Linked DNA regions of Bombyx mori. The protein of the gene in region 2 binds, or shares a complex with, the protein of the main gene of each other region. Links are inferred from orthologs where the notes say so. Each region holds a gene or a part of one and is shown on either strand. Other genes may lie near its edges.

The links.
Region 1: E3 SUMO-protein ligase RanBP2 (region 2) and probable nucleoporin Nup54 share a complex: the UniProt entries of both Drosophila melanogaster proteins name them as parts of the nuclear pore complex. The link is inferred for Bombyx mori from reciprocal best matches to the Drosophila melanogaster genes Nup358 and Nup54.

What each region holds. Positions count from the first base shown.
Region 1 is NC_085121.1:5,993,853-6,003,978, reverse strand, and holds the start of probable nucleoporin Nup54, read right to left. Parts: upstream 9,603-10,126; 5' UTR 9,438-9,602; coding exon 9,374-9,437; intron 8,895-9,373; coding exon 8,787-8,894; intron 7,724-8,786; coding exon 7,628-7,723; intron 7,361-7,627; coding exon 7,131-7,360; intron 5,807-7,130; coding exon 5,653-5,806; intron 3,925-5,652; coding exon 3,768-3,924; intron 3,188-3,767; coding exon 3,079-3,187; intron 2,145-3,078; coding exon 1,961-2,144; intron 926-1,960; coding exon 837-925; intron 1-836. UniProt on the Drosophila melanogaster protein: Component of the nuclear pore complex (NPC), a complex required for the trafficking across the nuclear envelope. Essential for the nuclear import of nuclear localization signal (NLS)-containing proteins in an importin alpha/importin beta-dependent manner.
Region 2 is NC_085121.1:11,021,250-11,030,831, reverse strand, and holds the end of E3 SUMO-protein ligase RanBP2, read right to left. Parts: coding exon 9,429-9,582; intron 8,563-9,428; coding exon 8,420-8,562; intron 8,331-8,419; coding exon 6,991-8,330; intron 6,386-6,990; coding exon 6,183-6,385; intron 5,819-6,182; coding exon 5,681-5,818; intron 5,533-5,680; exon of another isoform or gene 5,207-5,532; intron 5,109-5,206; coding exon 4,911-5,108; intron 4,481-4,910; coding exon 4,106-4,480; intron 3,246-4,105; coding exon 3,045-3,245; intron 2,648-3,044; coding exon 2,522-2,647; intron 2,418-2,521; coding exon 2,370-2,417; 3' UTR 1,491-2,369; downstream 1-1,490. UniProt on the Drosophila melanogaster protein: E3 SUMO-protein ligase. Component of the nuclear pore complex (NPC), a complex required for trafficking across the nuclear envelope.

The DNA.
Region 1 (10,126 bases), about 5.0 Mb from region 2:
CATATAGGCCCCGTTTGCAAAAATCACCTTAGCCCCCTCTTGTAAGTGTGTGGGCAAAATGGAATACGTTTTTTTTATGTTTGGGTGATCACTGGCGGCCCGGAAGCCTTTCCAGTTTCACCGGGACAGGTGGGAGAAGCAAGGGCTCAGCGGGGAAGGGTGGGATTTTGCTAACAGCTACCCGAGCGCCTCCAAAGGAGACCTAACAACTCAAGAATTACTGCTTCGCGAATATATCTACTACCAGATCGGAATCGTGACCCGCTGATGAGATCCGGCGAGAAACTCAGCCGGCTGATGTTTAGGTTAGATTAGGTTGTACGTTGAACTCATTGCAGAGTTCGACGAGTACGGTTACCGGAGTCCCTGAGCCTGCTCCTAGCGTTAGAGCTAAAGGCGTCTAATGCAATGGTTATGAGTTTGCGTAAAGACGTGTCTAGGGCGGCAACGATAAGGCGATTATCATGACACATAGCTTTATCGAAGTACCGTTCCGATGCTGACTTCATGTGTTTCCGGCTTGATTAGAGGCCCAGGTCGTCGTGTAGGTCAATGGAATAGGTACAATTGTAACAGGTTCATTGAAAGTACCGATACGGCCGCTCCATAGGACCGATATGTTTAACAGACTACTGAGGCTGCTTCGATTAAACATAATACGTACAATACTAAAATATTCCCACAATAAATATTACTAATGGCTTAACAGTAAATATAATTACACTTTGTTTATGCTTGTAAGATTTTACAGAATATCCCGTTGATGGATATAGTTTTATCATATTTATGTATATTATATAAATCTGTTTTAGATGTTATAGTTTGTGTTGACCTACCTCTGAGAATCCAATAATTGGCACTGGAATGTAATTAGCAGAGTCCGGTTTGTCGGCTTGAGCTTGTTTCCATAATCTTATATCCATGCCTATAGTGAAAATAAGGAAATTGATTATTTTGTACGAAATTAATTTAATAGCTAGTAATATTAACGAAATTAAATTAAATTCATTAAAAAAAAAAAAAAACTTGAATGGTTATAAAAAAGAAACATTTGTTTAGTTTCATTGACGAAGTTCACAAAATGTAAAAATCGTGCTAATTCACATTGAAACATACATTACATATGAGGACTTCAAAACGACGCAAGAGTAGCTGCGAGAGCAATTAAAGATTCCAAGAAATATGTTAAGAACAACATACTTAAATGAGACCCTTCATTCAATTATGTACTCTAAGAACTTCAGCGATTTTATTGTTATCATTACTGTGGTACGCAAAACTCTGTGTAATGCATTGCCCTGTCACTATGCTGAGTTGAAACCAACTATTGTCAATAATTAATTTCAATTAGTGCTGTTTGAGACATGAGGTCGAGGTCTCAATTGCATTCAAATACAGTCTATCCTTTCATTCAAATGGAAACTTTTGCTTAGCAGTAGAAATTATTTGGAGTCTTTGAATGGAGACTTTAGTGCAGAGAGTGGGGTTTGCTCAATATTCTTATAGTCTAAGGTGACGAAGGTGGCATACTTGAGTTTTTTTTTATTACACTTATTGGCAGACGAGCATACGGCCCACCTGATGGTGAGTGGTTACCGTTGCCCATGGACTTCAGCAATGCCAGGGGCAGAGCCAAGCCGCTGCCTACCGCTTAATACTCTCCACAAGCCTCGTTTGAACAAGGATATGTCATAGCGCTCGGGAAACACCGTGGAGGAGAGCTTATTCCATAGCCGGATGGTACGTGGCAAAAAATACCTCTGGAAACGCACTGTCGATGAACGCAGCGGTTCCAGATAATATTGATGAACTCTGCTCCGATGGCGGGAAGGTGCGGTGATAAAAAGTAGATGGGGGAATCATCTCAAACAATTCCTCAGAGCATTCCCTTTTGCTCAATATTCTTATAGTCTGAGGTGACGAAGGCGGCGTGTTGAGGTGTATGGCTTCTTTATGATACCTGGTGGAGGAGTTTGAAGGTACTGCTGCAGCATCTGCGGCGTCGGTGCGGTGACGGCGCTCACGGCAGAACAGCCGGCGCTGCTCAGGGCGTTCTTAGCGTTGCCGGCGTTTAAGAAATTCGCTAGCTCTGACGCAGAAACGTGAGAATTGTTCGCGGCCTTATCCACCACGTATATTACCACCTAGAGTAATTATTTAACATAATTTCAATCCAGATCTTTGTCTACGTTATATAAAATAAATCGGGGCAAATTTTATTTCGTACTAACTAACCCCGCAGACTTCGTAGTGCCTCAATCGATAAATAAAGGACCTAAACTTTTGTATAAAATAAACTTAAAACAAACAAAAGGAATCCGTCCGACGGGGGACACATCAAAGGAAAAACAAAAATGTATTTTTATTTAATTCCGAGCATTTTCATATTTATATACCTTTTAAACCTTCTCTGGACTTCCACAAGTAATTCAAGACCAAAATTAGCCAAATCGGTCTAGCCGTTCTCGAGTTTTAGCGAGACTAACGAACAGCAATTCATTTTTATATATATAGATTTATATCGCAGTTTATTTAAATTTGACAATAAACTCTGTCTTTTTCTAGTTATTTATCCGACACAGCGGTGGGGTCAGCTTTCCCTATTTTTCTCCTCATTTTCGTTTTGATTGCCACATCTTTGTCAGTAACATTGCATTCTTACTGGTGGTAGGACCTCTTGTGAGTCCGCGCGGGTAGGTACCACCACCCTGCCTATTTCTGCCGCGAAGCAGTAATGCGTTTCGGTTTGAAGGATGGGGCAGCCGTTGTATTTATACTAAGATCTTAGAGCTTATATCTCAAGGTGGGTGGCGCATTTACGTTGTAGATGTCTATGGGCTCCAGTAACCACTTAACACCAGGTGGGCTGTGAGCTCGTCAATTCATTTAAGCAATAAAAAAATAAAAAAATCCCTCTTGTCCTGCAACACTACATCTTTCCACCTTGAGCTGGAGTACCAAATTTCGGACGTAGTCTGGTGTCCTCTTTTTAACGTGACCATACAATCTCAGCCTACTCAACTGCATATTGTAGGCGATGTCCCGTCAGACCACGAATATGGTACAACTTTTACATACCTGACTTTTGTCATCTGCCACGGCTTTGACAGAATCAACATTGACAGCTAAGTTCGGTTTGTTCCCTAGTAAGCCTTGTAGTGATGTAATTAAACCTTGTTGGTTATTCCTGAAATAAAATTTAGATTAGAGAATCAGAAGACACATTTTAAAATAATGTTTAAGAGTACTTTATTGGTTTGTAGGGCGTTTTGTGAGATCGCACTGGCCGGTACTACCACCCTGCCTATTTCGGCTGCAAAGCAGTAATGCGTTTCAGTTCGAATGATGATGAGCAGTAGTTGTACTGTAAGCCTGAGACTCATGTCTCAATGTGGGTGACGGCATTTATGTTGTGTGTCTATGGGATCCGGTAACTACGTTACACCAGGTGGGCCAGATAAGCTCATCCACAAACATGAGTAACAAAAAATTTACTAAAAGTTGCTTAATAACTGGTTTTGTTAATGCGAGTTTTGAATGAATGAATAAATTTGCCGCGGCTGTATGTAAATCTATTATGTCACATCAAAATCTAAGTTAGATGCAAAATAATTTTATTTCATGTAGTTTTCATGTCATCAGTTTTTATGATCCCAAATGAAAAGAAAGAAAAATATAATTTTGCAATCGTAAGAACAACTTTAATACTTATAGTATATTTCCGAAAACACTGGTTGTCTTAAACAGAAATAAAATAAAGTTCTTACTTAATTTCTTGTTCGCTTTTGTTAAAAATCATAGCAACATGTCCATCCTTATCTTCCTTCTCACAGAGCTTTGAGTAGCCAACTGCTTTAAAACGACAGAGCGGATTTTGCTCTGTCAACGTCAAAGGCGGATGGTTTCGACTATAGTACGCTTGACCTAAACGAGAAAAAAATCATACTTACATACATACATTATAAAAGTTGACTGTTTGAATCTGTTTCTGAATTTAAATCTAAATATTCAATATTTAACAAATTAATGTAATTAAAAAAAAAAAAAATTATAGTCTATAGTAATAATATAATATCTATAGAATTTATAGTTCAAATAACAATGTGCAAGAGAAAATTTTTAAGTAAATGGAGAAACCTTGCTGCTCTGTGTTCGAATCTTACGTACCACAGGAACTGCCAAAGGAATTTTGTTATAACTAGAAGTCCCGCAGTAGTCGAAATTCGACTATAATTAATTGGAATTGTAAGTTTGTACACTATTATGATTGTATTTTATACTTCTATAATCACAAAATTCGCCAAGACTACACTATAAAAAAATATTAACAAAGAAAAACAAAATTTTAATCTCAATTTGACAACAGACGTCAAGAACAAAAGATTGACAATAAATAGTATGCATGCGTGTGTGCGTCAAATACATGGTATGTAGTGTGTGTAATGTTTGCTTTATTGATTTAATGTATCTTTTATGCATTATTTAAAAAAAAAATTAGCAATGTGCACTTCTTCTCTATATTCTCTATAAGTGTGGAAAATTTCATAGTCCTCCGTCCGCGCAATTTTCGTAAAAAGGGATACAAAGTTTTTGCTTCACGTATTAATATATAGATTCCATAATGCCCTTTTTACTACCAAGCAAACTCATTACTGGAATTACTGCGTCTAGCATTAACTAGTATGGCGGCGATGATCTTATGTAACTATGATATTACGAGTTTATAGAAATTCTGAGCAACTTTTCATTATAAGTTCATCAATAAATTCTAATTTCATCTTTCGCCTGCGATTGTAAAAACAAGATGATGGGATCATCTCAAATAATTCCTCGGAGTGCTCCCCATGGAACATACGGTACAAAATACAGAGGGAACTAAGGTCTCTCCGCAGAGGTTACATACGACCCGTGAGAATGGGATTATCAATAATCCGAACGGCCCTTCTTTGTATGTAGTCAAATGTCACCATACACGACATCGAAGGGTCAAAGGTTATTTTGTTTAAGCGACATTTTTGCAACTTTACAGAAGAGCCATTTAACGTTTAAAATTTGGAGAAATATCATAATAAAAAAACTTATTCGGCTATTTCAATGAGTAAACTTAATTGAGGTTAAATTAAACATCGAACTGTTGATGTTAATCTATACATATAAATAAAATTGGAGTGTTTGTTTGTAATATTGAAATAGCCTCTTTTAACTACATGCATATATATATATATATATATGATACATACACCAATATACATTTTTTACAGTTTTTGTCTGTCTGTCTGTCTGTTTGTTCCGGCTAATCTCTGGAACGGCTAGACTGATTTTGACGAGATTTTCACTGATAGGTAGCTGATGATATAAGGAGTAACTTAGGCTACTTTTTTTAGACTAGCTTCGCCCCGCGGCGTCACCCGCGTTACGACAATAACCGCGTGTACTCAACTATCAATAATAAAATTTAATGTTTCCGAAGCGAAGCGAGGGCGGGTCCCTAGTACCAAAATAAAACGCACCTTTAATTACAAATATAACTGTCGCGTATTAAGCGTAACGTCGCTTAAATCAAATAGCCTTTCACCCCTCGATAAGTTTATTGTAGTTATTTTATTTTTATTAATCAGCATCGAGTGTCAAGTTTATACTGGTCACGCATACCTGTACCCCATTGAGCTTGAATCAAATTCCACTTCGCTAAAACTTGATCCCTTTCGTCGCCGAACACACAGCAGTTGAACACGGCCGCGACTAACGCCTCGTGGGCTGTCGCTGGCGCTTGCTGTTGCTGTTGCTGCTGTTGTAGTTGTTGTTGCTGTTACGATTATAATCTCTAAATTAGGACTCGTTAGGTTCGCTATGGAATGAAAGCTTTCGCAAATACATATTCATCAAGGCTTAGTTTAGTCACGTCAAATTGGCGAAAACCTAAGAAGCAGTGTAATTCAATTGTAATTGATTTTTAAAAAAAACATTTGAATTATTTATAAAAAGGACTTGTTTTTAGTGTAATGATGATATAATATATTTGAAGTCGTTGTGGCCTAAAGGATAAGACGTCCGGTGCATTTGTATGTAGCGATGCACCGGTGTTCCGAGTCCCGCAGGCGGGTAACAATTTTTCTAATGAAATACGTACTCAACAAATGTTCACGATTGACTTCCACGGTGAAGGAATAACATCGTGTAATAAAAATCAAACCCGCAAAATTATAATTTGCGTAATCACTGGTGGTAGGACCTCTTGGGAGTCCGCACGGGTAGGTACCTCCACCCCGCCTATTTCCGTCGTGAAGCAGTAATGCGTTTCGGTTCGAAGGGTGGGGTAGCTGTTGTAACTACATATACTGAGATCTTAGAACTTATATCTCGAGGTGGGTGGCGCATTTACGTTGTAGATGTCTATGGGCTCCAGTAACCACTTAACACCAGGTGGGCTGTGAGATCGTCCATCCATCTAAGCAATAAAAAAAAAACTTTTTTTTCCTACCTATGCTGAACCTTGAGAGGCTATTTCAGCTTCACTCTAATGTGTAGGTGAGCTCACGGGGTTCAAACCGGAGTGTTGCTAACACTGGCTCTAGCAAGAGCAGTGCTTCGCAGAATCTACCACCGGATCGGAAACGCAACCCACTGAGAAGATCCGGCGAGAAACTCAGTGGGCTGGGTCAATTCGCTCGTCGAGCCCTTCGTCGCAAGCGACGGTTTCGACGAGGACGGTGACCGGTGCTTGATACTGAAAGCACCGTTAATAGATCGGGAGGATCCGTAATGACGTGTTTTGGGCTTGTATCAACAAAGGTTAACGTTTTGTAATAAAAACGCTTCTACATGGTACAAACATGTGCTGATACATTCAATTATTTTTCATAGCTCTGTTATATGCGTTACCCCTAATATATTGACTATTGCAATTTCGGTCGCCCATTTGTTACTGCAGAATGACTTCAGAGTAAAAAAGGTCTGAGTTACAGAGCGAAATTACGAGGTTTCATCGTTTGCCGTGTGACTGTCGAAAACTAAAATCTATTTAAAAAAAGTTTCACTGATATACAAGCCCTACTGAATATTAATACGTATTTCATAAAAATATATGTTTTTCTAGTTCACTTCTTGTATGGTAATTGAATCAAACACACCTGTTGTTGTCCAAATTGATTAGTGCCAAGACCAAATCCACCGAAACCAGTTGACGGTTTTGTACCAAATCCACTGCCAAAAGTTCCGGTACCGAAAGCTCCTGTATTCAGATTGCTGGAACCTAGAGTGTTTGTACCAAATGTTGGTGCTGCACTCGCAAATGTATTGGATCCAGTTCCAAATAAACCAGTCCCAAATGTGTTCGTCCCAAAGCCAGTTGTTCCAAAACCTTTAACAATTGTGTAAATAATTTTGTCAATTATTAATAGTAATTAATTTGGAATTATATCTTTTTCAATATTTCAAATATCAAAATACAAAACTAAAGAGAAAATTTAATAATTAAAATGAAATCTTTAGGTATCAGTGATTACTTTGTAATACATGAATGTATGCATCAAAAACACTACTCGCATAATACATCTGATCAATCAAAGGTAAATTGGAAATTTGAAAACGTAAAGTAAAAATGTAAGTAAAATTTAATCAATATTACCAGTGGCAGGTTTGGCAGCTCCAAATCCAGTCCCTCCGAACAATGAATTAGTAGTTGTTGTAGTAGCAGTGTTACCCAAACCACCAAAAGGTGTTGCTGAAACATTAGATATTACATTATTACTACACTAATTGATATCAGTGAATATTATGCAGTGGCATATTGTTCTCGAGCAAATCGATTTAGCTTAATGCTAAACAGTTAGCTTTTGTAGCCTTGACTATCTGCGCATATTGTTTTTAAATTATGTGTCTTCTATATCATTCATGTGTTATTTGAGCTATAGAAACTCCATAAAATTAGACTGAAAAAATTATTATTCACAATTTATACGCTGAAATAAAATATACATTAAAAGTGCGATAAAATTAAGATATCCATACCACATGTGCATGTAAAGTTCGAGAGCAAAAACCACATTCTACTTTGATCGGATGTTTAGTAATTGTCATATTTAATTATGATTGTTTTGGAGTATGTTACATTAAACATTTTTCGTACAAATTGGAAATGACTCGTATTTTTTCCTAGTAAATTGATATATCTATACTAATATTATAAAGAGGAAAGATTTGTTTGTTTGTTTGTTTCGAATAGGCTCCGAAACTACTGGACCGATTTGAAAAATTCTTTTTCCATTAGAAGCCGACATTGTCCCTGATGAACATAGGCTACTTTTTTTTAAATTTTTTTTTTTTTTTTTTGTTTCATGTGTGTTTTAATGTTTCCGAAGCGAAGCGAGGGCGGGTCACTAGTTGTATACTTTAATTGAACTATAAACAACTGTGTATTTATACAGTTTTCAATCATTAGGTCTAAGAAACTTTTTTAACTAAGAATAGTTTGAAAGAATCTACATTTTTATATAGGTTATATGGGTGGACAAGCTCACGGCTCACCTGGTGTTAAGTGATAACCGGAGCCAATAAAAGTAGTAACCGGAACTCATTTTAAAAATAGTAAAGTCTTAAAATGGTAAACTTTCTATTCACACCACCATTATTAAATCACCAAAATTGAATGTGTCAATATAAAAATAGCTCTTGTCTGATTTTCTTTTATAGTTTTTGGTAATTGAAATGTGTAATGGTAGTTGTAATAATAGTGCAGAAATATATTTTTTTAAATTAATTATATTCTTAGTCAAGCCAAGTATTACCACTACTGGTCCCAAAGGAGCCAAAGCCCGATGAGGTTGTCGTAGTACCAAAATTAAACCCAGTACTGGTGGTTGTAGCAGTACTTGTTCCACCAAATGAAAATGTCGCTGGAATTAAAGTACGAAAGTGTTATTAAACAATTTAAACTAAAAAATTGGAATGACTGCCATGAATACCTGCAATTTGCAAAATGTGAACAATGAAACAGAAATCAATTTAATCATTTTTGTGACCAGGAGATGAAATAATCTTCATTATGTAGCTCCACTACATTAAGTATATTATGTATCAGAATCACAGTTAAGATATCCACTTGCCTGCGTAAACTATGTGACACAACTTACCAATGGTCAAAATTAGAATTAAGGGAAATTTGAAACCTAGTAAGTGAGAATAGGTATTACTGCGGACAATGAAGTAATAACAGTAACTCAAAAAGTTCGCGTTCCTTATCTTTCATTTAATGGCTCATTAATTTGATCATTGATGATTTCATGTAAAATTCTCTGGCCTTATATGTGTTATAGAACTTTCAGAACATATTTAAATGTTCTTGTGTTACATTTACATTCTAAATTATACTCACGTTTGGCGGCAGCACCAAAAACCGAACCTTGTGTAGTAGTGGTATTACCAAATGAAAAAGCCATTGAAACTATAACTAAATTAAACTATAAACCATGAACATACAACTATAGATTCTTGTAAAATTTAATTTAAAAATATGAACGGTAAGTATTTATTCTAGGTTGTCCATTTCATGAAATGTACCAAAACCATCAAAACATAACAAAATTATCAGACTTTTTTAGTGTAGTCCTTTGGATAGGCAAAGGAAATATAGTCTATACACCTAATTATTTTGTCGCCAATTCATGTCTGTTGGATGAAAAGTGATGTGGAGGAAAAGTGAAATACATAGTTTGTTTATATATAATTGCATGAATGCTTCAGGAACGCAGAGAGAACAAACATTGTCTTTTTTCATCGTGTTAAGTGTGACTTGTTACTGCTGATAAAGTGGACTAGCTCCGTGGCTATAACAATTAATTAAAATTTAAATAATACTTGAAAACATTGTGTTCACTTGTATATTAGAAAAATAATTTTCATAATGACAGCGCACATCAAAAGTAAAAGAACACAATATAAATTCAAATGCAGTGCATCATTGACAAGTACATGTGGACAGCATCACGAACTTCCAACAACCGCAAACAAACTAAAAATACCAGGCACGGCACTCAAGTTTGCTAGGGGCGTCACTTAACATACACACCTACAAAAATATAGTCCAAACATTACATTCCACGTGTGAACTAGCCAATAGACACAACCC
Region 2 (9,582 bases):
CGGAAACGCCTCTGGGATTTCGTTACCGCGAATAACATATTAATATACGAGCAGTTTGGATTCGCGCTAAACACTCGTGCATACAACAAGTGCACCGCCTCACGGAGCCCTCTTCTTCGATATCTAGAAGGCGTTCGACAAAGACTGGCCCAACGGTTTGATTTCAAACTACAAAATGGTAGTGCCAGACAGACTCGTGCTCATCATACAAGACTTCTTGTCGAACCCTTCGTTTCGATATCGAGTAGAGGGAACTCGCTCTCGCACCATCATCTGACGGCCAGAGTCTCGCAAGGCTCCGCGCTCTCCCCGTTATTATTTAGTTTATATGTCAATGGTAATATGATGTATATCAATGATAGTATGACCCGCTCTCCGGAGACCCATCTAGCGCTCTTCGCCGATGACACGGCTATCTACTACTCGTGTAGGAAGAAGTGGCGCATTGGCATCAACCCCACGAAAAGCACAGCGGTGCTCTTCAAAAGGGGTCGCCTTCCGAACACCACTTCGAGCATCCCACTCCCTAATAGGCGCGTTAACACCTCTGCCGTTAGCCCCATCACTCTCTTTGGCCAGCCCATACCGTGGGCCTCGAAGGTCAAATACCTAGGCGTCACCCTCGACAGAGGGATGACATTCCGTCCCCATATCAAAACGGTACGCGACCGTGCCGCCTTCATATTAGGACGTCTCTACCCTATGCTTTGCAAGGGAAGCAAACTGTCCCTCCGAAAAGAGAACTCTCTACAAAACTTGCATACGCCCCGTCATAACGTATGCAAGCGTAGTGTTCGCTCACGCGGCCCGCACTATCTTGAAACCCCTTCAGGTTATTCAATCCCGATTTTGCAGGATAGCCGTCGAAGCACCATGGTTCCTGAAGAACGTGGATCTCCATGATGGCCTGGAACTTGACTCGGTCAGTAAGTATATACAGTTAGCATCATTGCGCCACTTTGAAAAGGAGGCACAACATGAGAACCCTCTCGTCGTGGCCACTGGAAACTACATACCCAATCCTGTAGACCGAATGGTAAACAGTCTACGTCGCCCAAAACACGTCATTACGGATCTTCCCAAACCATTAACGGTGCTTTTGGGTACCACAAGCACCGGTCACCGTTCTCGTCGAACCCGTCGCTTGCGACGAAGGGCTCGACGAGCGAATTAACCCATAGACACAGCCTACTGAGTTTCTCGCCAGATCTTCTCAGTGGGTCGCGTTTCCGATCCTGTGGTAGATTCTGCGAAGCACCACTCTTACTAGGATCAGTGTTAGCATCACTCCGGTTCGAGCCCCGGGAGCTTACCTACTTGTTAAGGTTACGCTGAAATAGCCTCTCAAGACTATCAGCTTAGGTAGGAAAAAAAAAGATACAGCAGGAAAACCCTTTGCACCACTTTTTCCAAAATAAGTCATTGTTTAGTAGCTACTCATCATTATAGTGCGTTCAGATCTGTCTACTACAGAATAAAATAACAGACAATTTCCTATTTCAACATCTTTATTACGTTATAAGTAAGTTCTTCACATTCCACAATACATTCCACATCAGATTCCAAAATGAGAACAAGATTATTTTTTTCGTCCTATATGCATTTATTTACTGTTTAATGTCATAATTTGAAATTCAATCCTTTTCTCATTTCTATAATATCAATTATTTTATAATCCACGTAATACAGGGAAACACGACGATATTTGATTTATTTAACAACATACATTTTTATACTTCAATAATGTCAATTTTACTCGGAGTTATGTCCTCTTCTGTAGTCTTTTTATTTGACTGAATCATTGAACTGTGAAGTTACTATGAAACTTATAGGTTTACAGCTCTACATATTAACTTAATACAAGAAAGGAATACAAGAAGACCTAACCAACTAGGAACGACATAAAATACAAAAATAATTTACTACTTTTTTATCTTTTTAATAAATAAGTAACAAGTGTTGGTTAGATCTCCTTGTGATAAGTTATAACACATATTTATTACAAGATAATTATAAATGTATTGAAAACAAAATGATTTAGTAAATAGTAAGACAAAATATTTTAAGTACTATACTTACTATGAAATATCTCACAGACAGCGTGCTATTGATTTTTGTAAAATCACACTAAACATTATAATTATATGCATTAGTGATAGTTTCATAAGTGGTAGTGGTGGTGGTGGTGGTGGTGGTAATGTACCATATATTAAAAAAACTCGCATTTTACTTGTTGTTTTTAAATTAAAAATTACATTAATAAAATATGTGAAAATATTGATGATAACTTTGTTCAAATACCAAGGTGGCACAAAACCTACTTCTTAAACACAAATTATAAAACTATATTAAAATACTTTGAAATATTCCTACGATTCTGGATCTGATCTGTACAGCGATGCACCTTTACATAAAGTCTGAAATAAATAAAAAACCATTACACATGTGAAACTTATATATTTTATAGAGAGACATGAAATGTACAACTGTTGTATGCGAACTTTTTTTTACGTTTTCTTACCTCACAACTTTCATGGAACTGTGCTGCGACTTCACTATCGGGGAAGTTAACTGTTACAGACTTTTCAACGGGATCATTGCTCGTAAAGTCCGTTCCTGACCATTTGCACGTAGTATCACTAGAAATCTAAATGGAATATGGAGAATTAATTTAAAATGTTTTAAAGGTAATGAGTTTTAAATACATCACTTATCGTGATTTAATTATAACAAAGTGAACATATTATTTAAAAGTATTTTAAGTAACGCAAATAATAACATAATTTTAGTGGAAATTATGTTATTATTATATATTAAATTTAGTTTTCCGATTTCGAACAATTTAAACTATTATTATTAGCAAGCAAACTACTGAAACAGCCATCTCACGACACCACTATGGTGTCGCCGAAAGCAGTGTTAATAGCGATATTATAACCTGTAGCGCAAAACATGTTGGTAAAATATATTTTTTAAAGCACTGCCAGCAACACCGCTTGCTACGAAATAACGAAAAATTATATATAATTATTAAAAATACGTACCTCAAATTCAGTATCTGTGCTTATAAGCATATCGGCAAGGATTTCTCCAGTTCCACTGTCAGTGATCAGAATTTTAGGTGAGCAAACATCCTGATCAAATATCACGATGATGCGAGCGTTCTCACATGTCGTTTCTGAACTGCCTTGCTTGATAACTGCTTCTCCATCACACGAATAATATTCACCAGATTCTTCCTCTTCCTACATATTGAATTAAAATTGAAATCATCGATAAATGGACATTTAATGTTTATTGTGTGTATGTAAATAAATAAAACGGTAGTTTTAAATTCTTGTATTTTTAATTTCTGGTCTCCGCTTGGGAATAAATCTTTTGTTAGAGTGTATTTATTATACACGGTCGGAATAAAAACCTTGTTTTTGCTGTGCATCTTGGGTTTTATTTGGAACAGTAGGTGTGGTCGCCATTATTTCAAATTTTTTTGTTTTGCGCCCGACCCCAGATGTTAAGTGTTTCCAAAATGCAGGCAAGGTGGAAGGGTGCTCATAGCCACTTTGAGATAAAAGGTCTAATCTGAGCTGTATTATGATGATACAGGTATTAAAATAATGTGATGACGGTTACATTGGATGTTTGACATTCAAATTTCAGGCAAGCATCGAGGTCTTTCACCCTTGATAAACAAACTTCTACTTCAATTAATTTTCTTTCTACAAATTTATATGCAGTTTTGTACTTTGCTTTGGTTTTCTATAATATATTACAATTTCCAGATCAATAATTAAAGAAAAATTATTTTAAAATAGGTCTCATCTGCCTTATAGCATAAAAATAGTAATTTAAAAGTTCAAATTATAAAATTGTGAACCTCGACTTCAAAAAATTCCGACAATGCAACATGAAATCATCAAATATATTCGCATTAATTAAAATGAATAACCAACTCATTTAAGCCCTTCAATTTTTACCCATCGCTGAATATAAGACATCATAGGTGGCATTTTTTTCATGGTTATATTAAATATAATATAAAAAAAATCAAAATATTCAAAAGTCGCATCCATTTTGAATGTTAGGATACGCTAATTTTAACACTTACATCTTCATTGTATTCATGGTCGTATTCATTGTGCTCATAGTCGGGATCATACTCATCATAATTATCTTCGCCATTATCGTCGTCATATTCTTCATCAACGTCATATTCCTTTGATTGGCGCATTTCTTGGAACTGTACTTGTTGAAAATTTTCTTTGGACGGTGATGGTCTGACTTGGAACACAGCTTCTGGTTTCGGGTCCACGACTTCGTCTCTCTGAGTTTGCTGTTCCACTTTTGCCGTCATCGCGTAGTCTGCTCGTGCACTGTCTTGCAAATGTTTCGGCAACCGCATGGGATTGGTGAAACTGGCCTCATTTGTTTCTTGAGATTTTTTCACTTCAATAGGCTTAGCAGCTGTTTCATCTTGCAGCTTCTGTAATAAGAAAATTACCATTTAGACATAGTTTATGCAAACTAGAACCTGTAAAACATAGTGTCACTGTCTGAGTAATTATATTTTTGTTTCAAAAGTGTTTTAGGAATAAAAGTATTGAAAATATTTGATAATATAACTTTGCAGTATTAAGCATAGCATTGAATACAATATACGAAACAAAAATATTTGAAATTGTGTTTTGTTAGATCGCTCAGAAAATCCTGTCAGTAGGAACTTCCCAAGGGGTTCATAATAATAAAAATAATTTACAATATCTTATATTATGCTATAAAAATAGCCTCGTTTATATTACTTGTGAATTTCATTTTTATAGTTAAAAAATAGTATTTTTTTTCAGTTTGAAACATAGCATTCTGCCAACCTTTAGATCATTTATTTTAAATGAATATAAATATCTTACACTGACCTGTATACATTGGGCGACCTTATTGCCGAACTCATTGAACAGTTCGATCGATTTAAAACGGACAGCTAGGGTCTCCTGCTGACCAGATGGGTCTTCTGCATAATTTATCCCAGCCCAAATCCATGCTCGATCAGAATTTTTCATTGGGTGTAATTCCAAATCCGCAAATAACAGCATATTCAATACAGCTTTATGAACCTGGCAATTTTTTTTAAATCGTAGCAAGCGTGAAGGTATTGAAACCTTACTTAAACGAGATTAAGAATTTATTGGTATCTTCTTCTTCTTCTTATCAGCCCACAGACGTCCACTGCCGGACATAGGCCTCCCCCAAGCCTCGCCACAAAGACCGTATCTGCGCTGCCTGCATCCAGCGGATCCCCGCGAACCTCGAATGGGTCGTCGGTTCATCTTGTGGGAGGCCTACCCACGCTAACTCTTCAAGTACACACACGGTCGCCACCCAAGAACTTTCTGGCCCCAACGTCCCTCCGTTCTACGAGCAATGTGCCCTGCCCACTGATACTTCAATGTCTGTTATGGTATGGCCATTAATAAAATTTACTAAATATCTAGATTATCGTCCAGGTGTAAAACAATAATAAATATATAATTAATTATACATTTGGCTCTTATTTTGGAGACTCCTCTTATGTGTATGTGCTTTGGAAATGAAACTATACTCACTTGCATATTAAATAAATCTGGTAAGTAATTAATCCGTTTTTTTCCTTGTTGAACAATGTGTTTGGATGATTAAAATTAATTACCTGTTCTCTTCTTAATAAAAATCTGTACGTTTTTCTTTCTGGATGATACAGAATTTTTATTTCGCCTACACCACGTTCCTTCCATTCTTGAGATTCATTATAACGGAATAATTTGCATCTTTCGCCAAACAATTTTTCCTAAAATTTCACAACTCATTTAGGATTAAGTTTATAGTGTTATTTTATTGAGCACTTCTGACATTTACCTGGTTATACCCAGGGGGTAAAGTTACAGTTTCTTCTCCTTACAGTGGGAGGAAAAGTTAGACAATCTTCCCTGTACAGCGGGAGGAAAACCGAACTTTTGGCGTAGGTAGGAGAAAAAAGTAGTTATTTAAATACTATCCCCCAACTCAGTGCCAGTATTTCAAAGGGTTACAAACTCAAATCAAATTAATCATTGAATACAGGTTGTGTAGACAAAACATATTGAAAGTTCATTAATGAAATGATTTGTGAAAAATTTAGTAACTTGTAAAATCATAAGCAGAACAGTACTTACCTCATCCTCTTCACCAGTAGTGATCACAATTTTTTCAGGTAAAGGTACAATAGGTTCATAATATGGGTCATATTCTTCATCACCTGCAGCTCCACTTTTTTCGGTTACTGCATTGCTTTCAGTTTTAGAATTATCTCCCTCTATTCTCTGTCCACCAGCAAACAGTTGCTGACCTGCACCCTCCCATTGAAAATCGGCCTTTTCTGCAATGGAATTTGATGTTTTTTACCTTTGTAATTACACATGATGTGATTTTAATATATTGCTTGGGGCTTAATATATTGTTTTACAAATATCAGCATTTGCTCTAATTTAATATTTAAAAACTTTTCAAACTTTCCATTTATTTAAATTGTATAATACGAATACAGTATGAATATCTTATCCGAATGTAGTCGACCACATTTTATTCCCCAACTATTTGCTGGTAGCCTAAGAGGCTGTTTCAGCTACGCCCGGACAGAGCCATCAACTGATTGTTATTCCGCCTGTCGTACCTAACCTTCAACTCCTAACGCGTGCTTTGCTGCCGAAAAAGACATCTTGCATTGTGGACTCACCATACGCTCTTCACAATTTAAAACACATAATTATTGTACAAGATTTTGATTCATAGAGCTAACTTAAACATGAACTTTTAGTACCTACTTATTGCCATTACATACGTCATACTGGGTCCTTTTTTTTGCTAAGTTTGCTTTTACTAAACTTAAACACTGAGATTGACTGTTTACAGCTGTTAATTGATTTAATATTATTATTTTTTATTAATATGGCGATCCTTAATAAATCAGTAATAAGCACTTACTCTGAAAATTATCACCACTACCCGTAGACAAAGCAGCAAATGATAGTTTATTATCAATTCTGAAGGGTCCTTCACTATTTATCTCTTCTTTTTTGGCTACATTGGATTTTTCTGAGATGTCTTCATTTGTTTTTTTCTGATTAGAATTAATAGTTGCATTATTCCCACACTGCAAGTCATTATTTACGAACACATTCTTTTTTTCTTCAGTCTGTGGTTGTGTACTAAAAAGACTGGGTTTCGATTGATTACTAGCTATTGATCCTGGGCCAAAAATTTTACTTTGTGCTACATTACTAAATAAAAAGTCTTTCTGGGCTCCACCAAATATTGATTTCACATCATCTTTTGGATTTTTAGGTGAGTTATCACTTGAATATGAAAAAATTGATTTATTACTAGAAGTACCAGCAGCAGCACTACCAAATAGAAATTTGGATTGATCAAACATAGGTTTGTTTTGACCACTAGTAAAAATGGAGCTTTTTTCTGGAGCTTTTTGTTCATTTGAGGGAACATTAGTAAGTTTTGGGGGAGCAAGTATAACACCTTTAGACTTTGAATTTATCTCTGTTGCTTCAACCTCCTCAACAGTTGATGTTGAATAAACTGAGGGTTTCTGTATTGAATCATTTTCTTTGCTAATTAAAAGATCAGATTTTTTTATTGTTGATGTAGGTGTATCGGATTTTAATGAGCCAATTGATCCTAGAGGAGTACGGAAAATTGAGGTATCGTAAGTCTTTTCAAAATTAGATGGAGTGCCATACAATGAATTAGTAGGACTTTGAAATGAAGATGGAGTCGTTTTACTAGGAGTCGATAGAAGAGCTGCCATAGTCATATGTTCTAGTGGATTTGTTGAGTTGCTAATATTCACTGGAGAATCAGTTTTTTTTACAAACTCATTTTCTTTGCAACCCCGGCATCCTTGACATGGATCTTTACATTTGTAATTGTAAAAGTTTTCCGGAAGTAATAGATCCTTTGCTTTCTGCTTTTCTTCCACAGTGGCAACTGTTTCACTCACAAAAATAACATCATCCTCATCAATATTTTGTTCACTCTTTCCAGAAATACTTTCTGAATTACATTTATCATCTTTTTTCATTATTTCAATAGATTTACCATCCCTGGCTTTATCAACTGCGTCTTTGAACTCAGTAGCAGTTTCTTTATTTGCAAATCGAAGGCAAAATTGTTGTAAGCTTAACTCTCCCTCACTATAATCATTAGCAGCAAACAACCACGTTTTTTCATCTTTGGGAGTAAATGTAATTTCAGGCGCTAATGCATAATTTAAACATATTTTTAGAACTTGCTCCCGTCGCATTACAACTCTAAAATAAAAGAATAAATTAAATGATGATTATGATTATGGTCTATTTGAATATGTCTCTAATAAAACACCAGTTAAGTTATTACTTACCTTAACTTGCCTGTATCTTTGTGTTTCAAAATTTTTACAACTCCGATTCCTCTCTCTTTCCATTCGCCAGCCATAAATCTATATAGTTTGGCTCTGTGGCCATAAAGTTCAGTTTCATTTTCCTCCCCAGTTACAACTTGAACCTGTCAAAGCAATTTTTTTCAAATACAACATGTATATATTTACAACATTTTCTATTCAATCTTTATTTTTAACTCTCAATACGAATAAGACACTTGGACTATACTATATATTATATGACTACTACTTATTTATCTTATTTTGATGGAACTAGTCAAGGAAAATGTAAGATTAGAATTTTGTACAGTAATTTGTGATTAAAAATAAAAGCTAAAAATAACTACTGTTTCTATCCCTAATTTATATCATATGCTTACGTTGATGCACTTCAACTAGAAATTTCATGTTGAATTGTATTACAATGTTCTTGTGGTACTGAAATCTACTATCATTTGGTGTATGGGTTACAGTTATCAGATGCTGGTTTACAGTTATCCTTTGTCTGCTAATCCACATCAAGTTTTTTTATTTTTTTATTTCTTAATTGGGTGGACGAGCTCACAGCCCACATGGTGTTAAGTGGTTACTGGAGCCCATAGACATCTACAACGTAAATGCCCTACCCACCTTGAGATATCAGTTCTAAGGTCTTCGCCGCCCTTCAAACCGAAACGTATCACCGCTTCACGGCAGAAATAGGCAGGGTGGTGGTACCTACCCACGCGAACTCACAAGAGGTCCTACCACCAGTAATTACGCAAATTATAATTTTGCGGGTTTGATTTTTATTACACGATGTTATTCCTTCACCGTGGAAGTCAATCGTGAACATTTGTTGAGTACGTATTTCATTAGAAAAACTAGCACCCGCCTGGGATTCGAACACCCGTGCATCGCTCAATACGAATGCACCGGTCGTCCTTATCCTTTAAGCTACGACGACTTCAAATTTTATGAATTTTTTTTGTAAAATTAAAATATGACTTACCTCATCAGGCAAGGGAATAACAGGTGTAAATTGTATCTGGGACGACTCCTCTTCTGACACACACTCATCATTTCCATCACTGTCCTCACCAGGACTTTTTGGATTTTTCAATGGACTCTTGGATTTTACTGGAGTTTTTGGTTTAAAAACGAAA